2 linked regions of the Elephas maximus indicus genome follow. The protein of the gene in region 1 interacts with the protein of each later gene in a biochemical or structural test. Links are inferred from orthologs where the notes say so. Each region holds a gene or a part of one and is shown on either strand. Other genes may lie near its edges.

Evidence for each region.
Region 2: the proteins of RNF11 (region 1) and ZFYVE9 form a complex in vitro, tested with the Homo sapiens proteins (2 studies listed by BioGRID). The link is inferred for Elephas maximus indicus from reciprocal best matches to the Homo sapiens genes RNF11 and ZFYVE9.

What each region holds. Positions count from the first base shown.
Region 1 is NC_064821.1:94,258,109-94,261,853, forward strand, and holds the start of RNF11 (RING finger protein 11), read left to right. Parts: upstream 1-738; 5' UTR 739-813; coding exon 814-936; intron 937-3,745. UniProt on the Homo sapiens protein: Essential component of a ubiquitin-editing protein complex, comprising also TNFAIP3, ITCH and TAX1BP1, that ensures the transient nature of inflammatory signaling pathways. Promotes the association of TNFAIP3 to RIPK1 after TNF stimulation.
Region 2 is NC_064821.1:95,222,387-95,226,131, reverse strand, and holds the start of ZFYVE9 (zinc finger FYVE domain-containing protein 9), read right to left. Parts: upstream 2,810-3,745; 5' UTR 2,485-2,809; intron 1-2,484. UniProt on the Homo sapiens protein: Early endosomal protein that functions to recruit SMAD2/SMAD3 to intracellular membranes and to the TGF-beta receptor.

The DNA.
Region 1 (3,745 bases):
TTTACATTTTAACCAAGGGAATGATCCATTTAGATATGCGTTTATAAATAGATCACTTGGCAGCTGAGGGTGTTGAGATTATCGGAATAGTGCACACGGCGGAGCTCAGCTGAGACAAACCGGGCGGAAGCACGGAGTGGAGAGGAGCGAGAGGCTGGAGAGGCTTCGAAGTCAGGTACCGAGCCAAACTGTCACAAAAATAAGCAGAAACTGACGCAGCCCCAGGAACAGCTGCTAGCGGGGAAGAGGAGGTTGGTCAACGCGCCGCGGGAGCCGCCCAGGCCTCCCGGCGCCGAGGGCGGGACCAGGGCACGCACAGCGGGATGACGCAGGGCCCAGGCCGGCCTTGTTCTGGCCGCCGCCGCCGCCGCGCTGAGGCGGAGTAGGATGAGGCCCGCGGTCGGGGCTTCGGCGTCGGCGGGGACAGCAGCAGCTGAGGCAGCAGCTGAGGCAGCCGTGACGGCCGCGCCCCCCCCTCCTGACCTGGATTAGGCCCAGCAGCTCCGTGGCCGCCGCCGCCCCGCGGGGGGGCGGGGTGGGGAAGTGCCCCGTCTCCCCGCCCCCCCCAACACCGCCTGGCAGGAGGCAACCGTCGCGACCCCAGTGGAGCCCGCGGCCCAGGCTTGAGCCCCCACCCCCGGGGGCTGGCATGAGCGGCCCCTCGGCGGCGCCGGGGGGCGGGGGAGCCGCTGCCGCCTGAGCTCCGGCCTGCCGCCCGACCCCACCTCGCCGACCGAGGCTGACCGCGGAGCGTGCAGACGGCCCCGCCACTCCTTTCTTCCTCCCCCAGATTACACACCCCAGCCCCGGAAGATGGGGAACTGTCTCAAATCCCCCACCTCGGATGACATCTCCCTGCTTCACGAGTCTCAGTCCGACCGGGCTAGCTTTGGTGAGGGGACGGAGCCGGATCAGGAGCCGCCGCCGCCATATCAGGTAGGGGAGGTTGTGTGTTCGAGAAAGCGGGGGGGGGAGGGGGGGAGGGGGGGGGAGGGGCGGGGGGCGAGGATCAGGCAGGTCTGGCCGAGATTTGAGGGGGCTTCAGGACCATCACTGCCCCTAGCCCCGGCTAGGCCTGGTTGGGGCTGTTTGCTATTCTGGGGCTGAGTCTTAAGGGTGATTGCCCTCCACTCCCAGAATAGGGGTGATCCTTCACCTCCCCTCTGGCACCGTGTAGGGGTGGTGCTCTCTGTCCTTGCGTTCTGGGAGCGAGTTTGCGGTCATATCCCTTTGGCAAGAGTCTGGTGATTAGTTTGTGAAGTTTTGGAGTGACATTATTTTCCTGCCTTTATGTCTGAATCCAAAAGTCGGAGTTGTGGGGTTGGGGGTAATTTCCTCATCGTACCGCCAGCTGGATTATGGGTTCTGGATAAGTAAGTGGTTACCTCCCACCAACTCCATTTGTATTTTCATGTGTGATCATCTTCCCCTCCCCCCTCCTACCCCCACCCCTCCTTCTGTCTGTGTTAATTGGATCTGGTGGGTGTTCATTTCTCCCTCTACTTGGGAGAGGATCTCCAACTGGTGATTTTAGTCCCAGCGACATTGAGTTACTTGTTTATATGTATGTATATATTTGTTGATTTTTTTTTAACCCCACCTCACTTTTGCTCCACCCCTATGACACACCTTATAAAATGTGCTGACTTAATAAAACTTGATTAGCTTCAGAACTTTGGAAACCTTTAAACCTGACTTGGGAAATACCTTCTGTTAGTTGTGATTCTCTCTGTATCAAAGGCTTTCTCCTAAATAGGTTTCATTGCGTTTTGTACAGCAACCTGCAGGCCCAGATGTGTTTACAGAGTTAATAAGAAACTAAAACAGGAAACTCAAAATAGAATATGCAGATGTTAATAATCCATCATACATATACACCCCTTTTCTTCTGCGTTTCCAATTTTAAATGATGTTGAATAAAAACTTTTTTCCCAGAAGGGCTTGAATATTTAGTCCTTAGTTTTTTCCTGAAGGGAGTTTAGTTTTTCTAACTGGGCGGTCTCCTTTGTTGTTTCATGTGGTGACATCATTATCTAGTGTTCTTTTTTCATTCCTGTGTAAACTTGTGTCTCATCACACAAGAAAAACCTGATCACATATGCTGGTTTTCTGAGTAAAACCCTTCAGAGACCTTTCATATCTATCAATCAAGCCCAGTCTTATTGTGGCATACAGATTCCCCCATGACTTATCTCTCACATTCTGTATTCCAGGCCTGCCAAGTACACCAGGCTGTTCACACCTCTCTACCCCCGCCCCCCCCCCAAGGTCTGCCAGGTGAACATCTGATTCCCTTTGAGAACTCAGTTGTTAGGTCCACATATCTGAAGCTTTTCCTGATATTCCCCTACCTCTATCCCTGAATCCATCACTCTCATTTGTGTCCCCTTGTGCGCATCTGTAAGCACTACCTGTAACATTTTAGTGAATGTTCTTGTTTAGTTAGATGAATGTCACATCCTTGAGGAGTTCCCTCCTCCCCCAGTATAAGCTGCATGAAGGTAGACCGTGTGTCTTCCTGTTTGCTGCTGAATCCGCAGCGTCTGGCACATAGTATTCAGTAACTGGGATAAATGAATATACCCCTTGAGAACAGGAACTGTGACTCCAATATTTTGCACATTTTCTGCCACATAAGAAGCACTTAAATGTTGAATGAATTAATGAATTTAAATTCAGTATCATGTTTTCTACATTTACACACCCATTTCCCCAAAGAATTGTCACAGTGGTAATCTTTTAAAAATGCAGGCCACATCTGGACGTCTTTCCGAACAAATATCTTTTGAGTGAAGCAAGTAACCTGTGTTTATACTTGCCTTTGTCACCCCCCCATATATATGTTTGTGTGTGCATATATATATATGTAATTCATTTCCATTTCAGGAGAGACAGTTTTTTAGAGATGTGAACTTTTATTTCAGAGTTCCCCCTTTTGTGTTCTCTAGCCTGTTTCCAGGCAAGTTGAATGTCTTGACTTGTTGCCCTCTCTCCTATCCTTATGGTAATTACGGTATTAAGGAGTATTTCTTTAGAATTTATGGAAATAATATAGTATTTGCCCTAACCAGAAGGACTAGATGATAATGATGGTTTTTTGGTATCACAAAGGAACAGTTTTTGAAACATGTTATTTCTGACAGTGGGTATTTTCTTGTGGTTACCCTTTCCTGAAGTGAATGATATGCAAATTTAGTATCATTTGGAAGAAAATAATTACTTTAAAAGGTGGGAGCGTAAAAAGAGAAACTTGTGCAAAAAATGTCCCCCGAAGGAAATAATATTTCTTAGGAATGGTTAATTTACATGATCTAAGAAACACCAAATAAAATATTTTTGGTAAATGATTTATAATGTTTTCATTGGATCTAAGTAATGTATTTTTGTAAAAGAATTAGTATATAATTAACAGCTACAGGAATATAGGCTTATTTTTTAAGAAATTGTTAGCTGCAATGGGATTTTTTTTTTTTTTAGTAAAGAATAGCTGATTATAAAGAAACACATGTTGTTTTTCTGTAGTGAGTAGTTATGTAATAAGTAATTAAAGGATGTCTTTGGTGTTGTTTTTGTTGCACAATGTATGTATATGCCAAGAGCTCTGTAGGGTAAACTTTTCTAAGTTCCAGTTATTCCCTTTTAACAGTATCTGACAGATTTGTTTGACTGAAGTTATTCAAAACTGACTTTTCCCCTTAAAAAACCCTATACCATTATAAAGTTTGTAGGAAGTGCATACTTCTCT
Region 2 (3,745 bases), about 960 kb from region 1:
AGACTAGAACTGCCCCATAGAGTTTCCAAGGAGCGCCTGGAGGACTTGAACTGCCGACCTCTTGGTTAGCAGCTGTAGCACTTAACGACTACGCCACCAGGGTTTCCAGATTAGGGATAGAAGCCTTAAATAGAGATCTAGCATGTTCCACTCAATTAACAACACCTGTCCGACCCTGCCTTGTAACAGTTAATTAAACATGTCCTGCTTCCACAATTACCTAATTGCTAGCAGAGCCCTTGGTCATTATTGTGTTTCCCAGAACACCTAAGGCAGCACCTAGCACTTAATAGATAAAAATTTATAAAAAATCTTTTGCAGTTTACAAAACTTTTTCAGACACATCACTTGATGTATTCACCCTGAAAGTCTTGCAAGATAAGTATAACAACCATCTTCATTTCATAGGCAATGACATTGAGGTCCAGGGAGATTAACTGCCAAGGTAAGTGACCAAGTGTCTTTCTATAACACCACATTTACCACAGTAGGCCGTCAATAAATGTTTGTTGATCAAATCAACTGTCCCTCAAAATATCGTTATTTTTCTTTCTAAGATTATAGCACCATTATCTGTTGTCACAAGAAATGAATGTAATGCCATTTAAAATTGATAGCTTTGTTAGAAAACAGAGATGGTTGTTTCAGCTCCACAAGGCTAGTTAACTTTAAACTCCATTATCAGTGACTCTCAAAGTTTAGTAGAACTAAGAATCAGGAAGCTTGATAAAATGAAGACCCTTGGGCTACCATCGTCCCTAGAAATTCTGATTCAAGGGCCAGGAATTCGCATATCTTAATACACACTCTCAGCTGATGCTAACGTTGGAGGTCTTCAGAAACACACTGAGAATTGAATCAAACTTTTTAAAACCTAAGTTCGACTAACGAATATAAATTTTAATCAAACCAATTTTTTACAGTTAGAAATATTTAAACAAAATTTTACGAAAATAATACAGGGCTACATTACCTAACTCAGTAAAAAAAAATTTTTTTTTTTAATAGGTCCTCAAAATCTGTTTAGCACACTGAACCTCCCTAGACTTCAGGAGCTCCTTCTGCTGCACGAGAAATGAGGAGTCTTTGAGGTAGTTACCCGTGTTAATCCAAGTTTTATTTGATGAATTCAACCATGGTTGCAGTGTAATTTAGTAAAACATTTTTAGGTGTTATCAAAATGGCTGGGTTTTAAACAGTAAAACAGAACTGTAAGTTAACTTTGAACCTAATACCCAGAAATCATAATTAAAAATCACCATCAGTACAAGCCCACTTTAAACTTTGAATGACCCTCAAAATGTACTAACTGCGGGATTATGGCTGATTTCTCGTCCATTATTAATTTTTATTCCTTGAAAGCCCACAAGTACCTTTCTTTAAATTTTGCACATTAAGAATATTTTTTCATGTTATAAGTTTTAAAAGCACCGACTTAATCCTACAAGCTTCACACACGTAACAGGAAGACAAGAATAACCTGTAACCGTATTTATTATAAACCATAAACATCCAAATATCTGATTTATGGTATCAAACTGTAATCAACTTTTTTTTACATTAATACCAGAACAGATCATTTTTGCTCTAACATGGTATTCCATTTTCATCAGTACTTTTTCTAATAACAGTATGATTTTTAGAAAAATCCTCTTGTTTATCCTTTCTCTGGATCTATTATGGTGGAACATTTTTGTACCGTGGACTGAAACATTACAAAATTTCTTATTCTGGGAAGGGGAGAAAGACAGACCTTTGTAAAAAGAGATATTTTTATAATTACCGAGTATTTATATAGGAAACAACATCGCAAAAGCTGGGATGGGGCTTTCTCCAAGGCAGACCGCGCTTACAAGAGTCAAGATGTAATACAAGAAGGCAGGGATAAGCTACCGGCAGGTGATGACATTTCACCTCAAATAAGACGCAAAGGGTTTTTCTCAAGCAAGTCAGATCCGGAAATGACACTCCAGGAGCACCAGGGCCTCTCAGAGCCCCCCACTCTCCGCACCCCAATTCTCATCTCCTTCCCTCCCCCCCCCCCCCCCCCGCGGGACGTTGCGGGACTCGGTGTGGGGAGCGAGCAGCCAAGGCTGTTTGCAAACAGCCGTCCTCTGCCTCCCTCTGGGATGTACGTACAGGGCCCGGGGTAAGAGGCTGCGCTCGCCCCGCGCCCAGGCAAACCCAAAGGGCTCCCGCGCCCCCGCTCGCCCCCAGCCCCACACGCCTGGCCGCGCCGGAACGGAGGCCGGGGCTGGGGCTTCTCGGCGGCTTGGGGCCTAGTCGCCCCCCTCCCCCCGCCCCAGCGCCTCCAGCCTCCCAGGGAACGCGGGGGGAGAGGAAGGGCTGAGGCCCCAGAACCGCGGGATGGGGGAGGCGGCCGCAGCGGTAGGACGCCCGGTCCGCCCGGCCCGAGGGCGGTCGCCGGGGCCCCCGCGGGCAGCGGGAGGCTGACGAGCCCGACCCGCGTCGCGCCGCACTCACCTCGAGCAGCGGCCGCCGCCTCAGCATGGCCGGGGGGGTTGTCCCTGAGCTGGCAGCCTCCTCCGGAGGGCACCGGCGCGGCCCCAGGCGCCGCCGCGGAGCCTCCCACTCCTGAAGGGGCTGTGGCCGCCGCTGCTGCTGGGGCCCAGAGCCCGCCGAGCCGCATCGGGCTCTCGGGCCGCCGCAGCCACGCGGATCCCGGAGGAGCGTCGCTGAGCCGGGCCGGGGGCGCAAGGCTGCGGTGGGACGAGCGAGGCGCTGCGCGCGAGGATCCTCCGCGAAGCCTCCAGCGTAGTCGCGGCCGCTCCTGCTGCCTGCGCCGCCGGCGCCGCTGGGCCACAGCGCCCCCTGGACCCCACGCCTGGCTACGGCGCTGGGACTGCGGAGGCCGCGCGGGGCGCGAGCGGGCGGGAGGACGGCCTGGGGGAGACTGGAGCCCCGCGCTCCTCGCGCAGCTCTCGCCCCGGGAGACGCCTCCCGGGGAACGGAAACCCCTTGGTCCCCACCGCCCCTAGTCCTCAGGCCCCAACATCTTTTCTTTCTCTCGGTAAGGTGCGTGAATGTTCCTGTCACTCGGTTCTGCACCTGAGGGCAGGAGTGTGAGGGCATCTCCTCGTTTTCATCTCGCAGGACTCGAGGGGATCCCTTCAAATCCCAACACTGTGTTTGGGTGAAAGAAGAGTGACCCAGAACAAACCATTTTTCAAACACACACACATGCGCGCACGCACGCGCGCGCACACATACATGCACACCTTTCCCAAAACAGAGGGACTTGTCTTTGACCTTAACTTTTGGGGGGCTCTACTGTTCACATCATAACAGAATCTTCCTACAGTTGCCAAACTTTTAGCCCCCATCCCCCGAAAAAACAAAAAAAGGGGGGGGGAATGTCAAGCAAGAGAATACCCAACGTATTGTCCTGAAATTCATAAACAACTTAGAAGTAAAACGAAGAAAAACCAGCCTTACATCCCACCCCCTGCAAATCCTAGGTAAGGCTCTAAAGGAAGGAAGTTGTTTTTTAGTGGGAGCTGCGGAGTCTTTGGTTTACAGGTAACCCACATTCACTCTCACTTAACCACTAGGGTGCAAACGTCAGAACCAAAAACAAAAAGGATGTCAGACGGGAAGTAGGGAGAGAAATTCTCCAAATCCTCTGGTCCCCAAATTTTCTGGATACAGTATTTTATCACAGAGTGGTATAGTAGAATGAACAGGAACTTTGGTGTCAGACAAATCGTGATACTATTTCCAGTTC